Linked DNA regions of Ovis aries. The protein of the gene in region 4 interacts with the protein of the main gene of each other region in a pairwise test. Links are inferred from orthologs where the notes say so. Each region holds a gene or a part of one and is shown on either strand. Other genes may lie near its edges. The genes, in order: GOLGA2, FAM114A1, GARIN6 and RAB2B.

Region 1 (5,254 bases), on a different chromosome or scaffold from region 4:
TTTGTTCAGGTTTTTCCATGCAATATTATGGAAAAACTCATAGGACCTATTTGGCCAACCCAACATCATCCATAAAACAACGGTTTTCAACTAGGATGCTTTAAATATATATATATAAATAAATAAGCCGTATCACATTCCTGAGATCTGGGCAAGGTCCTAGTTTTTCTCTTGTCTCTAGAGAAGTCTATGGCAGAACCAGAACAAGGATCCAAACTTTCTGGTTCCTGGTCGGAGGGCACCACAGTGACCCTGAGAGGACCTGGCCCTGCCAGGTGGGGCCTGCACACCCCAGGGCTTCAGCCCTACCTGCTGCAGCAGCAGCTCCGACATCTCCAGCTTCTTCTGCAGATCCTCCATGCCCAGCTGCATGGCTGACTTCTCTATCGCCAGGAGCCGCAGCTTCTCCTCCAGCTCTGAGTTTTGCTGCTTCAGGTCCTCGTTGTTCTTACTGCGGCCAGAGGGAGGTGTGAGTGCTGAACAGAGAGGAACGCTCCCATGATCCACCCACTACTCCTGCCATAAAAGTCACTTTGGAAGGGACCCCAGCACCAGGAGTCTCAAGAGGCAGCCCAGAGAGAAGACACAAGCTGCCTGAGGCCACAGCAGGGGTTTAGGGGCACGGCTGGCTGACAGCCTGGCTCTGCACACGTCCAAACATGTACCCTCTTTCTCACCCGACTCCCTTGGATCTCCCCCACTTCCCAGTCCCCCCCATCACCCCCCATCCTACTTGTTCTTGTATAATTCCAGCTTGAGGGCATCTCGCTCTCTGGTTAATTCTTTGTTGTACTGCGAACACAGAAAGGCGAGGTCAGGAGAAGGCAGGCGGAAAATGCAGCCCAGCAACAGCAACAGAACGGCTCCCAGCAACACGTCCTCACCTGGTGTGAGGCCTTTACGTTTTTTCAAAGCTCATCCAAGCTCATGCTCTCCTTTGGTTTTAGTAAGGACTCGGGAAGGTTGGAAGAGGAAGGTGGGGCGGTCTGACTCTGGGCCGGCCACCGTTTTCACTGTTAGCAGCATCACCTCTGAACCTTTTCTGAACACTTTCTTAGCCAACATTCCCAACTCACAATCACCGTGGAGGCAGCTGCTATCTCCATTTTATCAGTGAATGAGGAATATTAGAGATTAAGGAGCTCGCCTAAAATCACTTAGACCTGGGATTCTTCAACCTTGTTTTTGGCCCTGGGGTTAGGGCATGACCACGAGGGATAGATTAAAATGCATTGTAATCTTTTGTTCATTTTTTGAATGGATGGGACATTCACAGCCCCAAACTTAGAAGGTACAAAAGCGACAGGTCTCTAAGCCACCCTATTCCTCTCCCTTGGGCTTTTTAAAAATATTTATTTGGCTGCACTGGGTCTTAGTTGCAGCATGTGGGATCTAGTTCCCCCCTGCACTGGGAGCACACAGTCTCAGCCTCTGGACCACCAGGGAAGTCCCTTCCTTGGGTTTTACATGAGTCCTTTCCGACATGTCATATATATTACACACATGTACTCCTCCCTTTTTAGTGTGGTCATGGACTAAAAATACTGATCTGAACCTTCACAGCCTGAACACCCAGCACCTGAGCCAGAACCCATGCAGTTAAAGGCAGGGCTGGCTGACACTCAGGGTCTGGGCTCATCTAGTGCTCACTCTAGGTGGCACTCCCCAGCCCCTCCCCACAACTCGACCATGGCAACCAACTCGTGTCCAGATCGCATTTCACAACCACACAACTCTAACGCAGCAAGAAACGGACAGTGCTGCCGTCTGGGCAGCCAGTCATTCCATCCTGCCGGAGAGACCTTTAGGCTCACAACCCATCCACGTGACCTCCAGGGGATGGGCAGGCTGCTGGGCTCACCCTGTCGGCCTGCTTCTGCTGCGTGGAGACGGCAGACAGCGTCCGCTCCAGCTCTCCCACGCGCTGCCTGGAAGACTGCAGGCGGTTAGCAAGATCCTCTGACTCCCCTGAAATGACAGCAGAGAGGGGAAGTCCAGAGAAGGAATCCCACCAAAGGCCTAGCCAGCCCAAGGGTAAAAGGGTGCCTAGATTCCCACCTGCTTTCTGCCTGGCTGCCTGCTGGGTGTGAGCCAGAGCTGTCTGTAACTCCGTCTTCTCTGACACCAGAATCCCGATAGTCTGAATGTGGACCTTTAGGAGAAAGGCCAAACGAGTGCTGACAATGTGGAAAAGCAATGTTTCCTGGGGGCCACAAGGGACCCTGGAAGAGTCTGCTCACCTGCAGCTGCTCTCGCAGAGCCCCTTGTTCCTTTGCGAGCTTCTGCTCAAATTCCTTCTTTTCCTGCAGAAAGAGAGAAGAAACAACTCTTACTGGGAGGACGCAAAAGTGAAAGAGAAAAGGACATGTGCCCCGCCCAGGGATGCCACCACAGGCCCAGGACAGGCCCACCAATGAGAACAGATAATCGGCGCCCTGGGAGTGGAAGACCGGCGAGGAGGCAAAGGGGGAAGCCCCCTATTCCTCCAGGCTGTAAGCAGCCAAGAGGAGAATGGTCCTCTACATCTGAATCCTCCCCCAAACCCATCAGCCATGGGTTGTTTAGTCGCTAAGTTGTATCTGACTCTTTTGCAACCCCATGGACTGTAGCCCGAAAGGCTTCCTCTGTCCCTGGGATTTCCCAGACAAGAACAATGGAGTGGGTTGCCACCTCCTTCTCCAGGGGATCTTCCTGACCCAGGGATTGAATCCTCATCTCCTGCACTGGCAGGTGGATTCTTTACCACTGAGCCACCAGGGAAGCCCCATTAACCATGGAGGAAACAAAGAAATCACATTACTTTTTCCAGTTGATCCAAAGTTTCCTGGTTCTCTTGTTTCTGTGGGGAGAGGCAAAGGAAGGTGACTGAGGTTGTCCTCCTTCCCCACGATCCTCAGACCAAGGAGGAGGGGCCGCAGGCAGGGGCCAGGAAGGGGTTAGAAAGGGAGGGTTCACGGGGACACAAACGAATGAACGCTTCTCAAGCTAAGAGACTTTGAGCCTTGGCAGGTTTTGCTCATGGCTACAGCAGCAAGGGTCTGGATCTGATTCCCTTGAAGGGACAATGACATAAACCTCTAGAAATGGAGTCTGAGAAGGTGAAGACCACCCTCTGCCAGCTCACACTCAAGGAATGTTCACTGAGCAAACACATCACAGGCCAGGTTCTGTTCTTAACAACACTGATACATGAATGAAAAGGACCTTGAAACCTTTTTGGGGGCTTAAAAGGGACCTTGGACACCCTCTGATTCTACCTCCTCAGGAAACTAAAGGCCAAGGAGGAGAGGTGACTTGTCCAAGGTCGAAGTCGGAACAAATCAGGGGCTGGGTCAGGGCTGGAACACACCAGTCAAGCTAGTGCCTCCCCTACAGGCAACAGACCCATGGCAAGGTGGGGAGGACTCGAGCAGAGGTGTCTGGAGAACAGAATAGGCAAAGAGGGCAGCCACAGAGAGAGCCATGCTGCATGCCATGCTCCGGGGTCCCTCCAGCTGAGACCTAGGCCTCCCAGCACCCCCTTCTCCCTTGGCACCAGGGATCCCCAGCCCCTTTCTTCAAGAGCCCCAAGGTGAGACCGGAGCCCCATATTGGCAACATGGATCAGGGGACAACACCGGACTCTTACCAATTCCTCTATCTTGCTACTGAGTTGTTTGTTTTTTAGATTGCTGGAGTCCAGGGCTACTGATAGTTCTTGGTACCGGCTCTGAGGCGCATGCAGAGAGGAGGAGGAGGTGGAGGAGGGGTAGGGAGAGGTAGAGAGAGCAATCATTAGGGTCGGGGGGTGTCTGGGCTGTCTCAGCTGGGTGGGGCACCCAGCCCCCACCATGGGAGGAGGTGGGGGGCAGTGCTGGCCTGCAGGGTCACTGGGCCAAGGTGCAGGCCCACTTACCTCCAGATTCTTTATATTAGCAGGAGATGCTAGGCCCTCCCCATTGATGTAAGACGAAGACTAGGAGAGACGAAAGGGCTCACATGGAGATGTTCTCTGACCCCCTCCAGCATCTTGCTGGAGGTAACATTTCCTCTTCTGCCTAACTTGCCTCCTGCCCCTTAATCCCTCCCTGCGCCAGTTTCTCCTGGTTCTTAGCTCCCCCTTGTCCCTCCCCTCCCAAAGAGCTCTCATCTACAGGATCAAACGATGTAACCAATCTCATTGTCCAACCCCTTCATTTGCATGGCTTCAAAGAGGAGACTCAGAGAAGTAATGATCAGCTAAACATTATCCAGCCAAGCTGCCCGGTCCCAGGATCTTCCCTTCCTTTGGGGAGTCTCTGCCTCAGTTTCTTTCTATCATATTTTCCCTCCTACTCTAACCCATGCCGAGCTCCAGTTTTCGGGGTACCTCGGACACAAGACCGTTGAGCTGCTGAGACAGCTGTCGCAGACTCTCGGTGGATGAAAAGGATCTGGGGATGAACACAGCAGTCAGGGGTGCAGGAGGCTCGATGGGAAAGGGGGGGTCACGGGGCGGTGGCCTAGGGACTGGTGCCCCCGTGGGAGACACTCACGTGCTTTCGTCAATGGGACCAGAACGGTTGTCGGCATCATGGTTCTGTTTGGGAAGAAACACAGGAATTGGTCATTCAAGTTTTAGGAGGAACCACCTACAGGCACCAAGCTCATTCCGACCACTTTCCACCTCCCTGAAGCTTAAGGGGAGTCTGGTTTTGGGCTCCCCCATCCCAGTCCTCAGGAAGGGCACCTGGCTCACAGAGCCAAGATACCTGGAAAAAAAGGACGAGGGTCCACAGGAGGTCCAGTCCTCCGGGAAACAGGAGGGGGTGAACACAGAGCGGGCCAAGGGGGAAGAGGCACAAACCTGAGTTGATGCCATGCTAGTGACACGGGGGGGACTAGCACTGGGGGAAGGGACACCGCCAGGTGACACGGTGTCATCAGCAGATGGTGTAACAGGAGCGGCGCGGTCTTTGGGCGCCTGTCACAGAACAGAGCAGGGGGTTAGGGGGCCATGCAGGGCAAAGAGTGCCTCGCTGTCATGAGTGCAGGGGTGCAGAGCTGGCAGGACCGGTGTTGAGCAGTCGTGACAGTCACACGTGCTGGGAGCCACGCGGGGGTGTGGCTGCGGCTCGCCTAGAACTTGGGCCATTCTGCCGCCTTCTGGACCGAGGCTCAGGGCAAGGGCAGTGAGGCCTGCTTCCTGAACATGGAGTGTCATCCTCTGTGGAGCTCAGTCAGAGGCAGGGCCAGGCTGCCCTCTGGCAGCCGCAGCAGGTAAGAGGGAAGCGTG
Region 2 (4,190 bases), on a different chromosome or scaffold from region 4:
TCATACTATAAGAATGGGAAAATTTAAAGTAGAAATTTAAAGTCTAGGGTCCACTCATAACTTGCCAAAGATAACATGCTTAACCAGGAAAATGGAAATGAATATTTGTAAGTGAACTCTAGATTAAAGGAAATTATCAATACAAAGCTGTGAAAGTTTAAATTAATATAAAAGAAACATAATTATTTGTAAAAACAACCATATACATTAAGAGAAATGATACTCTCTTTAAACTTGCATTTTCAATACTGTCTGTGCAAAATTGCTTGTAGTGTCTCCAAACAGACGTCTGTGGCTGGATGCATGGAAAACTTCCCATGAAATGCACATCAGAGCAACAGGGCCCACTGTTTCCTTTAACAAGATGAAGTCTGGCCAGGTCATGGCTGTGCTTTGGAACAACTGGTCTGGATGTGTGAAACCTGCAGGACAGGCAGCAGCAGCTGGAAGGCATCCTGTATGTATGTGGTGCTATTGCAGCCCTGTGAATGGAGAAAACTGTCATTGAAGGGTTACTGTCAGAGTTCCAGCTTGACAATTCTTCCCATTTGATAATGTTCTTCTCCTCAAACCCCACACTATTTTAGAACATTTTTCTTTTAATGCTGTTGCTTAAAGCAGATATAAACACATTTTGTTGGATGGCTTGCAACCAGCTCTCAATTATCTACACTAACAGAGAGAAGAATTCACTTGAGGCAAGCCATTTCCATAGACTTTTAGGGTATATTAGGGTATATTTCCTTTAGCTCAGATGGTAAAGAATCTGCTTGCAATGCAGCAGACCTGGGTTTGATCCCTGGTATCAGGAAGATCCCTGGAGAAGGAAATGGAAACCCACTCCAGTATTCTTGTCTGGAGAATCCCATGAACAGAGTCCATGGGGATACAAAGTGTTGGACATGACTGAGTGACTAACACTTAAACTCTAGGGTATATTATGTGTGTATAGTCAATACCCATTATGTCCAGTCTTACTTATCCTTTTTCCAGATCAATCTCACTGCCCTGAAATAACACAAAAGCACAGCATGAAAGAGGCTGTAGTTTGTCCTAACCTACAGATGAAGAAGGGCTTCCCTGGTAGCTCAGATGGTAAAGGATTTGCCTGCAATGCAGGAGACCTGAATTCCATCTCTGGGTTGGGATGATCCCTTGGAGAAGGAAATAGCAACCCACTCCAGTATTCTTGCCAGGAAGTTCCCATGGACGGAGTAGCCTGGTGGGCTATGGTCCATGGGGTGGCAAAGAGTCAGACACGACTGAGGGACTAACATGTACAGATGAATAAACAATAATGGGTTACTGGAGATATTGTGCAATTATTCACGGCAAATCCTTGAATGCTGTCATCTTCCTATTCATGTTGGTACTCTCCACTTGGTTTGGATCTTTGACATTGCTATTCATGTTCATGGGTGCTCTAACAGACAGTATTCCACGAGAGACCACTTAAAGTTCCAGGTAATTAAAACAGGAGAAAACTTCCACCAAAGGAATGAATAAATGATTTGACTTCATACTCTTCATGACCAACAGTAATTCATCTGCTAATGCCTTTTGGGTGGCCAAGGAAAATGTTCTCAGGTTCCATGTTCTGCCTCTGATTGCTTGGATTTCCTTTAGCTCTATCCTCCAGAATCTTCCCTGCATGTCAACTCCATCCCTCTGGGAGGCTGTGTCTTAAGCAATAACACTTAGGGTCACCACTGTTACTCCTGTACCTCGGTAGCTTTCCTTAAAGGTAAGACTCAATTCCTAAGTGCATTGCTATATATTTATATGTAGCCCTCCCTCACTTTTGTAATTTCCAAATTTTGCATTTGACAGGTACTTCAGAGAGCAAGAAACCACTGTATATACACTGCTTATATTCAAACTTAACTTGTCAACACCTTGCGGCTTCAGCTGGGTGCCGTGGGGCTACAGAAGTGCCAGTTCCTTATGGCTGATCCGTAATAGAAGAATTTCCCCCACTAGCCACAGATGGAACACAGCACCTACAGGTCAAGAATGAGGCGTCCTAGGTCCCTTTCCTTTTCTTTTCTTTTACATTGCTGCTTCTGGCAAAGCCACAGCTGTGTGGGGCAGCTACATGTCCGTGTTACAATGTCCTGGTGTGTGGGCTGGCCATGGAGTGAGTGGTCACAGAGGATCTTGCCTCTGGTTAGTGAATGGGCAGATGCTAAATATTTACCTGTCATTTGTTGCCAGTCTGGAACTTAGACCCGGCTAAACCCAAGGTTATTGTGAATGGAGGAAAGTGCCCACTTTAACAAAAATTCACCATTGAGCAAGAATTCCTCGTTGCAGCCAAAAATCACAGTGTTAAATCTGGTGTCAAACTTGGCAGCAGAAATGTGCTTCTGCCGGAGGAAACAGCGACAGAAATAATGTGCAAGCTTAGCATTTCTCTTTATAATCAGGATTCTTGAAAATTAGGTATTGTTGTTTCACTCGAGGGTTTACAGCTGGTTGAACTATACAAATGTACTAAAAAAAGACTGTAGACGATAAAATTTAGAATTGCAGAAATACTTGCTGTCTGAGAGAAAGACAAAATGTGTAGCTCTAACATTTGGTTTAATTCAGAAGCATTTTCTCTCTGGGGGCCACTTACCTCTAACAATACACTATTGATCATGGGGTTAAGGACCTCGGCCTTCTGGTTGCTCTGTGGAATCAAAAGTATGAAATTGACAGATTAGGTGCTCATACTCCAAGGCTTGTCAAAGTGTTAAGATGCTGGCTTTATGAGGGATCTCTTAGAGAAGAAGAGGAGAAGTGGAATGCTTACTATACATGAGGCTTCATACTTGGTGCTTCCCCTATACGATCTCATTTAATTTCCACAGAGATTTTAGGGGGTAGGCAGGGACCACGATAACTCTGATTCACAGATGAGAAAATATGAATCAGGAAGGTTGAGGAAGTTATTTAAGGTCATGTAGCTAGAAGTTTAAACTCAGACCTTTTAAACCATTCAAATCTTATATCAGGTTTGGGATTAGGGGGAGGTGAGTGAGATTGAGTTGGACAGAGTTAGCTTCAGTCTTTGCTTAAAATTTTTATATTTTGTTCATCATGACTTTTGGTATTCATTTTGATTTTTAAAATATTGCATCTATCTAGATGACTGAGGTTGTCTATTTGTCTCTTTTTGAGAGATGGTCCCCTTAAATTTGGTAGACAGGTTAAGTACCTTTACTTGCCTTTACTAGTCCCAGCCCTAGTCTGTCTATTTTTCTTTTAAATACAAGCACAGGTACTTGGTTTTAGGGTATGTCTTCTAGGTTGGCAGCAAAGTTAAAATACTCGACTATAACTTGCAAACAGGTTGGCAGATTCCAGTTTGCAAAACATGAATATATGTAAAGTGCAGAATACAGAGTCCAGTGTTAAGCAGGTGTTCAAAAAGTGTTAGTGTCCATGTAACCATTATTATGTCTGCTATTGGTCCATTAATCAACAGTCTTCTCTATCTAAAATGTTCAGTCTACTCTTAGACAATAAATAATTAAAGGGACTAGAAAGAGAGACGGCAGTCTTAATAGGCTGTTTTCTCTCACGGTACTCGAAAAATGTTATGGTAAACAAAAGGATATAAATGAAGTCTGTCTTCCCAGAGCAGCCCACTTTCATTGACATTACTCTATTGAGGGCTAAATAATGTCTTACTGGGGAAAGCATAATGGAGTCTTGGGAAAAAACTCTTTAAAAACCTAGTCATTTTAGTAAGTAACCAGAAAATCCATTATGGTTTGCTTTCATGTTTATTTGATTATCAATAAACCTCTAAAATATAATCAAAATGAGGGCAATAAAATGACATTGGCTTTCAGAATCAATGAGATGTGCAAGCAATTTAAATAGAGTCTGGAGAGCAATATACACTCATTAACTTCAAGTTATGAATAATGGCTCTTTCAGAGAGCAGAAACAATAACTTGATATGAATGATTTATTACAGCACAAGACAAGAGGTACTGTTGTGGTGAGATGGCATTTCATAAACCATCTTTAGATCTGGTTTTTTCCTTCTTCAAAACGACAATTTGTGTATTCCTGATTTTGTATATACAAACATTTGGACACGCGTGTGTGTGTAGTTTATGTGTATATGTGTGTATATTCATTCATTTTTGTGTGTATATTCATTCAAGTACATACTTCTCTGCTAGAACTTTGCT
Region 3 (5,710 bases), on a different chromosome or scaffold from region 4:
CCCTGTCTCTACGAGCAAAGACTGCTGCCATGTCCTGTCTGCCCTCTGCCATATACAGTGGGGTGTTTCTCCAGGACCTTGCTTCAGACATGCAAGATTCCCCTATCCATTAGACTATTATGTTTCTGTTGCTGACTCTCAGCTCCTTTCTTCCATCTTGAAGCTGGGCAGGTACAGGCCTTCTAATTCTGCATGGTTCATCCCAATCACAAACATACAGTTTTTATATATACTCAAAATTGGAATCTTTTGATGAATACATAGTATACTTTTTCCACTTGATATTATGTCTTGAACATACTCTTATGTGAATAAACATTTTAATGTGATCAAATATTTTAGTCTGGCATTTCACATGATGTATTTTACATAGAAGTTAAATAAGCAGGGTGACAATATACAGCCTTGATGTACTCCTTTACCAATTTTGAACCAGTCTCTTCCGTGTCTGATTCTGGCTGTTGCTTCTTGACCTGTTTCTCAGGAGATGGGTAAGGTGGTCTAGTATTCCCACTGCTTTAAGAATTTTCCACAGTTTATTGTGACCCACATAGTCAATGGTTATAGCATAGTCAGTGAAGTAGAAGTAGATGTTTTTCTGACATTCTCTTGCTTTCTCTATGATCCAACATATATTGGCAATTTGATTCCTCTGCCTTTTCTTTGCATAATATTTAATTTTAAAAATATACTAGAGTGATTTTTAAAAAATCATCCTCTATTGAGATTATTTTCACTCTTTTCCTGACTCTACCCAGTCATTTAGATTGTTGATAGTAGTTTACTGTTAGTAATTATGTTCTGATGAACACATTTATGCATAAATCCTCTATCTTTGATTTTATTTCCTTGGAAAAATTGAATCACTGAACAGAGGTAAGTATCTTTTTAAGACGTTTATAGTTCAGTTCAGACACTCAGTCACGTCCAACTCTTTGTGACCCCATGGACTGCAGTATGCCAGGCTTACCAGTCCATCACCAACTACCAGACCTTACTCAAACTCATGTCTATCGAGTCAGTGATACCATCCAACCATCTCATACTCTGTCATCCCCTTTTCCTCCCACCTTCAATCGTTCCCAGCATCAGGGCCTTTTCCAATGAATCAGCTCTTCACATCGGGTGACCAAAGTATTGGAGCTTCAGCATCAGTCTTGAATATTCAGGACTGATTTCTTTTAGGATTGACTGGTTGGATCTCCTTGCAGTCCAAGGGACTCTGCAGAGTCTTCTCCAATACCATAGTTCAAAGCATCAATTCTTTGGCTCTCAGCTTTCTTTATGATCCAACTCTCACATTTATACATGACTACTGGAAAAACCATAATTTGACTATACAAACCTCTGTTGATATATATATTGACTTTTATATATATTGCCAAATTGCATTACAGAAAGGTAAATTATAGTTTATTAAGGGAAAAGTTACATAATTTCATTAGTTTTTTTTAACTCAATGACATTTTAATGAAGATACTATGTAATATAGGCTTGGATTGTTTTAATTTCTTCCTTCCTCCACAACACTTTCCAGCAGCATTTCAACTTCTCCTATCTCTTGAGATAAACCATTTTATTAAAATTATCTTTTACTATTCAAAACATTATTTTAAGATTTTTCCTTATTTTTAAAATTAATTTTTATTGGGTTTTCATTTGATTTTGAAACTAGCAATAGATGTGACCTCTAGGATTGACTAGTTTGATCTCCTTGCAGTCCAAGGGACTCTCAAGAGTCTTCTCCAGCACCATAATTCAAAAGCATCAATTCTTTGGCACTCAGCCTTCTTTATGGTACAACTCTCACATTCATACATGGCCACTGGAAAAACCATAGCTTTGACAATATGGACTTTTGTCAGCAAAATGATGTCTGCTTTTTAATACACTGTCTAGGTTTGTTGTCAGAGCTTTTCTTCCAAGGAGCAAGTGTCATTTAATTTCATGGCTGCAGTCACTGTCCTCAGTGATTTTGGAGCCCAAGAAAATAAAATCTGTCACTGCTTCCACTTTTTCCTCTTCTATTTGCCTTGGAATAATCTTAGTTTTCTGAATGTTGAATATCAAGCCAGCTTTTTCATTCTTTTCTTTCACCCTCATCAAGAAGCTCTTTAGTTCCTCTTCACTTTCTGCCATTACAGAGGTGTCATCTGCATTATCTGAAGTTGATATTTCTCCCAGGAATCTTGATTCTAGCTTGTGAGTCATCCAGCCTGGCATTTTGCATGATGTTCTCTGCATAGAAGTTAAATAAGCAGGGTGACAATATACAACCTTGACATAATCCTTTCCCAGTTTGGAATCAGTCCTTCATTCCTTGCCCAATTCTGACGGTTGTTTCTTGACCTGCACACATGTTTCTCAGAGACAGGTAAGATGGTCTGGTATTCCTATCTCTAAGAATTTTCCACAGTTTGTTGTAATCCACACAGTCTAAGGCTTTAGTCTAGTCAATGAAGTGGAAATTTTTCTTGAATTCTCGTGCCTTTTCTGTGATCCAACAGATGTTGCAAATTGATCCCTGGTTCCTCTGCCGTTTTCTAAATCCAGCTTGTACATCTGGAAGTCCTTGATTCATATACTGCTGAAGCCTAGCTTGAAGGATTTTGACCATTACTTTGCTAGCATGTGAAATGAGTGCAATTATCTGGTAGTTTGAACAGTCTTTGGCATTGTCCTTGTTTGGGATTGAAATGAAAACTCACTTTTTCCAGTCCTGTGACCACTACTAAGTTTTCCAAATTTGCTGACATATTGAGTGCAGCGCTTTAACTGTTTATCATGTTTTAGGATTTTAAATGGCTCAGCTGGAATTCTGTCTATTCCACTAGCTTTGTTTGTGGTAATGCTTCCTAAAGCCTGCTTGACCTCACACTCCTGGATATGAAGGTGGCTCTAGGTAAGTGACCACACCATCATGGTTATCCTGGGTCATTAAGACCTTTTTTTGTATAGTTCTTCTTCATTGTATTCTTGTCACCTTTTCTTAACCTCTTCTGCTTCTATTAGGTCCTTGCAATTTCTGTCCTTTATTGTGCCCATCTTTGCATGAAATGTTTCCTTTTTATCTCCAATATTTTTGAAGACGTCCCTAGTCTTTCCCATTCTATTGTTTTCCTCTATTACTTTGCATTGTTCAGTTAAGGCTTTCTTATCTCTTCTTGCGATTCTCTGGAACTCTGCATTCAGTTGAGTATATCTTTACATTTCTCCTTTGCCTTTTGCTTCTCTTGACTTTTCTCAACTATTTGTAAGTCCTCCTCAGACAACCACTTTGCCTTATTGCATTTCTTTCTCTTTAGGATGGTTTTGGTCACTGCTTCCTGTGTTACAATGTTATAAAACTCTGTCCATTATTCTTCAGGCATTCTGTCTACCAGATCTAATACCTTGAATCTATTTGTCACCTCCTCTATATTCATAAGGGGTTTAATTTAGGTCATGCTTGAATGGTCTAGAGGTTTTCCCTGCTTTCTTCAATTTAAGCCTGAATTTTCCAATCAGGAGCTCATGATCTGAGCCATAGTCAGCTCCAGGTCTTGTTTTTGCTAACTGTATAGAGCATCTCCATTTGGCTGCAAAGAATATAATCAATGTGATTTTGGTGCTGACCATCTGGTGGTGTCCATGTGTAGAGTCTTTTCTTGTGTTTTTGGAAGAGAGTGTTTGCTAAGACCAGCGTGTTCTCTTGACAAAACTCTGTTAGCCTTTGCCCTGCTTCATATCAACAATTAATTGTATCAATAAGAAATGCATGTGTTATTAATATATTTTTGAGTGAAGAAGGATAGGTTTGGGAATCTTGAGACAGGTGAATGCCAGATAAGAGAATTTCAAAATTTCAAAATAGATGTTTAGAAACCCCTGTAGGATTTTGAGAGAGATAAAACTGTCTCTGGAGGCAGACATATCTTAACTCAAAGTAGTAACTTGGTGACTTTAAGCACTTAAGTTTACTGACTTAAATTTCAGCTGTGTTTCACTCACCTTTCAAGGGCTTAGGGGTACTGGAAATTTTTCTGGTTCTCTGTCTCATACTACTACCACTGGGATATTTGTGGGAGGCTATTTCAAGTCCTCTCTACTCAAATCGCTCTCTGAACCACTTTAAACTCACTACATGGGTGCTCAGTTTTGGACATTGCCTTCCTCCTCCTCCTCCTCCTTTCCTCCCTCCCTCCCCCCACTTCCTTCCTTCTTTCCTTTCTTCCTTCCATAGCTTCTATTTATTAACAGCAAGCTCCAATACTTTGGTCACCTGATGTGAAGAATCGACTTATTGGAAAAGACCCTGGTGCTGGGAAGATTGAAGGCAGGAGGAAGGGGATGACAGAGGATGAGAGGGTTGGATGGCATCACCAACTCAATGGACATGAGTCTGAGCAAGCTCCAGTAGTTGTTGATGGACAGAGAGGCCTGGCGTGGTGCTGTCCATGGGGTCGCAAAGAGTCAGACACGACTGAGTGACTGAGCTGAACTGATGATTTTGTAAAGCAGCCTCGAACCCAGGTCATTCTGATTCTCAAGAGCAGTGTGTTCTGAGGACAGCTTCCTGTAGCTCTCTCTTGAATTCCACTGGTGTGTACACCGTGATGATGATGTGGTACTGGCCTTCTGCAGGCATGTGATCTGGCCTTTCCCTCTCAAAAGGGAACAGACTGGGGTCACGTTTGATGGCATCCACATGAAGTTCCCTGGGATGCAAGTTGTAGCTCCTGCGGTGCTTCCTGCTGGGCCTCAAGCATGGGCCCGATGACCTCCCTCTCTGTCTCGTGCTCTCCCTGCTTATACAGGGACCACTTCTTCAGAAGCTGAGCTCTCATCTCGTTTCTTCAAAGAGCAGTTCCCTCTGAGACTGCTATTTCACTTTATCCAAGAGCTCACAGGGATAATAAAATCCTCAAAGGGAATTAGCTCCTGGCTAGGCTTTCTTCTTTTTCAAATGGTCTTTTACTGCTTGGTCTTTTTAAAGATTTAACTACTTCTTTCACAGAGGTTCTGCTCTCATGGGAACAAGTTCTGAGACGATCAACCATGAAGCTTTCTGATAAGTGTCTCTAGTCTATGTCTGCCAAATTCCCAAAGCATCCATGGCCTTTAGGTTGCTTCCAGGCATGCATTCATTTGCATTCAGGGCCCACACAGAGATTCTGACGTAGCAGTTCTTTAAGTTCTCGTTTGTACTAGGGAAAATGAGGAATACATTTCACTGACCTGAGATTTCCCTAATCTTATCTGATAGACAGTGATAAGATAAGGCAGGGAAATGGAAGGCACTGTAATTTAGGGAGGATGAAACATCCCTTAGTTTAATATTTCCAAAATATTGTCTCTGTTACATTATTATTAGATGTCGCATTTAAGAAGGTTTATCATGGCTCTGAACTCGAGGTGAGCTGAGCATGAAGAGCGCCTGGAAGCGGGTCATACACTACCTGCAGGTAGTAAGCAGGGCATGCTTACCTCCTGGCAGCCGTTTAATTAGAGTGTGATAGGCTTCCCCGTAGGAAAGTTCTAGAAAATCCAATATGGCTTTTAATTTCTCTGGGGAAAAAAAAACCCTCAAAATATAATTTTTACTGAGAGTTGGCTTCAAGTATTAACTTTATATATATTAAAGATTAAATTTTTTTCTCTTAACACAAATTTCTGGCAGCGCTCTATTAATCATCATAAACTTTCTCCCAGAGTTCAGAAATCTTTTTAG
Region 4 (5,950 bases):
TTTTAAATTTTCACCATTATGATGGGTATAAAATGGTACCTCATTGTTAATTGGCATTTCCCTGATAAGTAATGATGATACTTTTTCATATGCCTAGTGACAATTTGGATACCCTCTCTTCTGATATGCAAGTTTAAATCTTTTGTCCATTTAAAAAGTGGATTATTTCACTCTGCAGAAGTACCTGAATATACTCTGAATCTAAGCCAGATATATGTAATAAAATATCTTCTCCCAGTCTGTGAAGTGCCTATTTAATTTCTTAATGATGTCTACTGATGAAAAGTTCTTAAATTTTGGAAATTCCCTGTTGCTCTAGTGGTCAGGACTTGGCACTCTCAACTGTTTGGGCCTGGGCTCAGTCCCTGGTTGGGGAACTACAACCTAGAGAGCTGCACAGCATGGCCAAAAAAAAAAAAACAAAAAAAAACCACACAAACCCAAAACACTTTATATTTCAAAGAAGTCGAATTTTTTCAACTTTTTTATGATAAGTTATTTTTGTGGACATTTCTTTTCCTTGCAAGAAACTCTATTAAGGTTTGTTACAGGATAAGTTCATGAATGCATGCCAAGTCGCTTCAGTCGTGTCCAACTCTTTGCCACCCTATGGATAAGTTCATTCAACAGCAATTGAGAATTCTTGATACAAAAAAAGTGATCAAATGGTTTATGCCAAGTTTGAAAACAATTAAAAATTCTCAAAAGACAGAAAGTTCAAAATTTCCGTTTCTCAAAGACTGAATTTATTTTTGTTCCACCCTTTTCTTTTGCCTTGTCTAAACAAATCATACATATTTATGACAACATTTCAATTAAACCTTTTCCAAGAACACTAAAGGACATCACCATGATCATTACTTCCACTTCACAACATCGTAATAAACTATTATTACAATCCTTTGACAGCTAGGGAAACTGACACATAAGGGTGAAGGAACCTACCCAAACTCTGAGGCACTGGCAAACAGAAACGCGTGCTCTACTCAACTCCATGTTTTCTCGCAAATATTCCCTTTCATTCTCTCACTAGCACAACAAGCTAACACTCTGTAAGTAAACATAACCATTAACTTTTCAAAAAATTGCTAGGTAGGAAGTTTCAACGAAACACATACCCCTTCAATAGAGTACGGTTTAAGAATGAACACATTCCACAGTTGACGTGTTAGGTAAACTCCTGCCCCTTCCCAAATTTCTTTGGCTGAAACATTCTCTCCCTCCTGCGATCTCCCATTATTGTACTTGTTTCTCCTCCACGAAAGGAGACAATTTCATTCTATACTCCAATACAGAATCGCTCTAAAATAGGTTCGCTTTTTCCAGAGTCCTGCTTTTCTGATGACAGCAGCTTTCCTGGCCTTCCGCGTAGTCCTCATAGGCTCTGAAGGCAGCTGCCACTTTTCTCCAGATATCGATCTCAGCCTCCGGTTCCCAACCCGGGCCCTGGCGTCCGCGCTCTCCTCCCCATCATCCTACCCCACCGCTGCCTCCCACCCTCTCCGCGCAGCGTCGGCAACTCATGCTCACCTCGGCCCCTGACAGGAAGGGGTGCGAGGGCCCTGTGATCGTCAGGTAATTGTCATTTCCTCCGGGAAACTGGAAACCAAAAGAAAGCCGCGGGGATAAGTTAGGGGAAGCAGAGAGTTAGATCGGAGCGACGTTTTCTGACCCAGACATTATGACAACACCTCCCAAACCCCGCTCTCTCTCCCCTCCCATCTGCCGCTTCCCGCTTCTGCTTCAACCCCGTCAGCCGCGCTCTCTCGCCAGGCTTCTCAACGCTCAGGAGCCTACCTCCATCTTCACACAACGGCTATCACGGTCTCAGTGAACTCATCACTCCCACCGCCCCCACACAGGACACGGAACTGCCGTCACTTCCCCAACGTCGTGCGTCGCTCTCCGCTGATTGGAAGGAGCGCCTTGGGGCTGCTGCGAGTCAGGCCCGGGAAGGCCGAGCGGACTGACAGGCTAGCTATCGCCTCCTGGAGCTTGGTGGGATAATGGCATGTAGGAGTGTTGGAGGCGTCCTCGGAGGTGGTATCTGGGTATTACCGTCGCTCCGACCGAAACGGGATTTCGAGGGAGAGCAATAGAGACGTTAACTGGGCTAGAGGGGCCGGAGGTCGATAGATTGAGCGGCTAGAGAGGCCGGAGGTAAGTGGCTGTAGAAGTCGGGCGGACCCGGAATCCAGAGGAAAAGGGACCATGACTTATGCTTATCTCTTCAAGTACATCATCATCGGAGACACAGGTAACCCGCGGGCGACAATCCTCAAGCTGGGGCGGGGATCCGAAACACCCAAGTCGGGGCTTGGGGGCGGGGCTCATTTAGTGGGCTGGGCGATTAAGTGAAGCGGGGGGCGGGGCGGGCCGCCGGGGGCGGGGCTCGGGGCTCCCCTTCCCCAGTCCTGGACGCCCCGACACTGGTCTGTTCTCGCTGCCTAACTCCTAACGCACGCGTCTTCTTTCAGGTGTGGGGAAGTCATGTCTCCTCCTGCAGTTTACAGACAAGCGATTCCAACCTGTCCACGACCTCACAATAGGTAAGCGCATATACCTCTCGTAGAATAGATTATGAAATCTGACTAAAATAGAAAGTTAGCAGCTTTAGTGTTCGAAGTAGAAAAGTTACGTCTTCCTATTTTGGGGTTAGTCCAAAGTTATGTTAAGTGAAGAATGACTAAATGCTGAGAAATGGGCAGTAGTGTAATGGGGAGTAGGTAATTGAAGGGTGACTAGATTTAGAGATGACCATGAGGTATGGATTAGTTGCCTCAGGATTTTTTTTTTTTTTTTAACAAATGTAGTTTGTATGTTTATGTAAAATCCTATGAAAACGTACTGTTAATTCAAAAACTCGCCTTACTCTGCGGTAAAGTAGTGTGAACCTCATTACTTTTTCAAAGTAATCACTACAGTATAGATTTTGTGTGTGTGTTGGAGAGGAGGAAGCAAATGGAAGAGCCATCCCAGACCTAGAATAAAAGGTACATGAAACTGGTAAGTTTTGTTTTAAAGAAAAGATATGATAATCATGAGTTTCAAGAACTCTCTGGTAAGCGTGGGAAATGTGAACATCTTCCACAAATTTGTGATATGGGACGACCTGCTGAGTTTTAACAACCCATTCCCCATAATCTCCATAACCCCAACCCAAATAAAGATTATATACATAAAACTAGCCTTCTTGCCATGCAGGTGCAGTTTCAGAGTAAAATCCCTAGCTCCCATTCTTACTATATTGCCACTTCCAAGTCCCACATTATGGAAATCTGAAGCTACTACTGATCCCACAGTACTTATTCAGAGCCAAATAACTAATGTGGTTAGAAAAGGATTTAGTATCAACAGGAAAATACTTTTGTAAATGACTATTGTGTACAACCACAATGTGCTAGGTGCTAAGTGATACAGTGCTTAACAAGGCAAACATGCCTACATTGAAAGCTCCAGTGTAGGAGGTGAGGTGAGGCTGGGGGCAGATACCAATGAATAAATTACTATTGCAAAAGGGGATAAGAGGCTGCCACATCTATCAGGAAAAGCTGAAAATGGAAGCATGAGAAGGAACTAGCCAAGCGAAGGGGTTGTGGAAGGTGAGAGAAAAGTGATCAGGCCAAGAGGGAAAAACAGGTGCAAAGGCTCAGGAATAACAAAGTTCAGGCTAATCTGGAAAACTGAAAGTAATTTAATATGGCTTGACCATGGAATTTAAAGAGAAGAGTGACAAGAAGTAAGAGTAGAGAACATCTGGGGTGGGGAAGGGGAGAGATGAGTTTTGACACACCTAAAGGTAATGAGCAAGTGACAGGTTTCAAAGTAGCAAAATGAAGTGATCAAGTTTTCCCAGAGTCCAACATATGCCCTGTTTCTTTCTGAATTCAGTCTTCTATACCAGGATAAACAAGGCAGTTGGCTATAAAATGTGCACAAAATATGAAGATTTTTTCATAATTAGAGGAAGTTGCATAAAAGGGGACAGAAGTTGTATTTTTTAATTCTTCACCATTGAAACTCCATTCCTCTTGTCCAGGAAGAAAACAAAATTAGTGACTTTTTTTTTCTTAGTAACTATCATTATTCTTGATGATGCAGTCTAGAGTAGTAAGAAACAATTTTTTAAATCTGCTTATTGACTGTAAAACTTTATAGAGTTGAGAGAGATTCTGGATATATTGTGCCTGGGGCCCCTGAATAGCAGAAGCTAGATTAGTGCTGTTTCTTACCTGCAGATCAGAATTCCTGGAGTAAAGTACTGTGTAAAGATAGAAAATAGGGCAAATTGTTTGACTTACAATCAAGTATTTTTAATGTAAGTGATCTTCGATTTTTAAGTTTTGACCTGACATTACCTTGATAGAAGTTGAATGCAGGTAAACTAAAACCTTTATTCGGACTATCTGTTTCCAAACCCCTGTGAGGCATGCTGTTTTTCTGATGAACTCTTGGAATTATTGGAGATCTGAAATGTTTCATTCTTGAGAACCTATTCTTAGATAGGTGCTTTTCTAAAAAAAAAATCTAAAATTGCAAAAAGCAAGTATTTATTGTTTCATATAGAGGACTAGAGAGTGACTTTGGGAAAATATTAAGAAATATTTTCAAAAAATTTAGAAGTTTTTTAGTTACAAATTAACCATTTCTTAATCAAATTTAAGCATTAAACAATAATTCTAAAAATTCATTCACTTTTTCTATTTGATTTCTTAATTAATTTTTATCCCCATATGTGCTTTTCAGTTATATTCCTGAGGTGGTTGTCACCTGGAACACAGTTTTTAATTCTAGAAGATAAAACTTTAAGGAGCAAAAAATTAATTGGAGCAAATAGGGAACTGTAATGGGCTTAGTAGCACCAAGTGCGGAGGATGAGTCGTTAGCACAATGAGGACAAGCATGAACCTCTTGTCACCATGGTTGTTCGTGAGAATCACATTCTTTCGGTTTTCACTGACAGGTGTGGAGTTTGGGGCCCGTATGGTCAACATTGATGGAAAACAAATCAAACTGCAAATCTGGGATACGGTAAGAGAAAACAAAAATACTTTAGTCCCAAATATAACAGTAAAGGCTGATGCAGGGATAAAGGGCTATGACGGAGGAGCTAAGGATGGAGGTCAGAGTTCAGTTCAGTTCAGTCACTCAGTCATGTCCAACTCTTTGCGACGCCATGGACTGCAGCATGTCAGGCTTCCCTGTCCATCACCAATAACTGGAACCTGCTCAAACTCATGTCCATCGAGTCAGTAATGCCATCCAACTATCTCATCCTCTGTCATCCCCTTCTCCTCTTGCATTTTTCCCAGCATCAGGGTCTTTTCCAGTGAGTTAGTTCTTCGCATCAGGTGACAAAAGTATTGGAGCTTCAGCTTCAGCATCAGTCCTTGCAATGAATATTCAGGACTGATTTCCTTTAGGATGGACTGGTTGGATCTCCTTGCAATCCAAGGGACTCTCAAGAGTCTTCTCCAACACCACAGTTCAAAAGTATTAATTCTTCAGCACTTAGCTTTCTTTATAGTCCAACTCTCACATCCATACATGACTACTGGAAAAACCAAAGCTCTGACTAGATGGACTTTTATTGGCAAAGTAATATCTCTGCTTTTTAACATGCTTTCTAGGTTGGTCATAGCTTTTCTTGCAAGGAGCAAGCGTCTTTTAATTTCATGGCTGCAGTCAGTCATTAAAAACTGCATAAGCAGTGATTTTGAAGCCCAAGAAAATAAAGTCTGTCACTGTTTCCATTGTATCCCCATCTACTTGCCATGAAATGATGGGACTGGATGCCATGATCTTAGTTTTTGAATGTTGAGTTTTAAGCCAGCTTTTTCACTGTCCTCTTTGACTTTCATCAAGAGACTCTTTAGTTCTTCTTCGCTCTTCTGCCATCAGAATGGTGTTGTCTGCATATCTAAGGTTATTGATATTTCTCCCGGCAATC

Evidence for each region.
Region 1: the proteins of RAB2B (region 4) and GOLGA2 interact in binary tests that used the Homo sapiens proteins (3 or more experiments, as listed by UniProt). The two-hybrid records come from large-scale screens. The link is inferred for Ovis aries from reciprocal best matches to the Homo sapiens genes RAB2B and GOLGA2.
Region 2: the proteins of RAB2B (region 4) and FAM114A1 interact in binary tests that used the Homo sapiens proteins (3 or more experiments, as listed by UniProt). The two-hybrid records come from large-scale screens. The link is inferred for Ovis aries from reciprocal best matches to the Homo sapiens genes RAB2B and FAM114A1.
Region 3: the proteins of RAB2B (region 4) and GARIN6 interact in binary tests that used the Homo sapiens proteins (3 or more experiments, as listed by UniProt). The two-hybrid records come from large-scale screens. The link is inferred for Ovis aries from reciprocal best matches to the Homo sapiens genes RAB2B and GARIN6.

Annotation. Positions count from the first base shown.
Region 1 is NC_056056.1:8,017,849-8,023,102, reverse strand, and holds part of GOLGA2 (golgin subfamily A member 2), read right to left. Parts: intron 4,943-5,254; coding exon 4,826-4,942; intron 4,559-4,825; coding exon 4,515-4,558; intron 4,413-4,514; coding exon 4,349-4,412; intron 3,956-4,348; coding exon 3,896-3,955; intron 3,710-3,895; coding exon 3,629-3,709; intron 2,840-3,628; coding exon 2,801-2,839; intron 2,304-2,800; coding exon 2,241-2,303; intron 2,153-2,240; coding exon 2,059-2,152; intron 1,969-2,058; coding exon 1,862-1,968; intron 793-1,861; coding exon 734-792; intron 452-733; coding exon 310-451; intron 1-309. UniProt on the Homo sapiens protein: Peripheral membrane component of the cis-Golgi stack that acts as a membrane skeleton that maintains the structure of the Golgi apparatus, and as a vesicle thether that facilitates vesicle fusion to the Golgi membrane.
Region 2 is NC_056059.1:58,872,962-58,877,151, reverse strand, and holds part of FAM114A1 (protein NOXP20), read right to left. Parts: intron 2,675-4,190; coding exon 2,423-2,674; 3' UTR 483-2,422; coding exon of another isoform or gene 381-482; 3' UTR 1-380. UniProt on the Homo sapiens protein: May play a role in neuronal cell development.
Region 3 is NC_056056.1:169,270,611-169,276,320, reverse strand, and holds the start of GARIN6 (Golgi-associated RAB2 interactor protein 6), read right to left. Parts: upstream 4,040-5,710; coding exon 3,991-4,039; intron 1-3,990.
Region 4 is NC_056060.1:24,039,137-24,045,086, forward strand, and holds the start of RAB2B (ras-related protein Rab-2B), read left to right. Parts: upstream 1-2,162; 5' UTR 2,163-2,211; coding exon 2,212-2,257; intron 2,258-2,477; coding exon 2,478-2,549; intron 2,550-4,963; coding exon 4,964-5,031; intron 5,032-5,950. Other genes in the region: TOX4 (TOX high mobility group box family member 4), read right to left, coding at 1,531-1,599, 1,798-1,803. UniProt on the Homo sapiens protein: The small GTPases Rab are key regulators of intracellular membrane trafficking, from the formation of transport vesicles to their fusion with membranes. Rabs cycle between active GTP-bound and inactive GDP-bound states.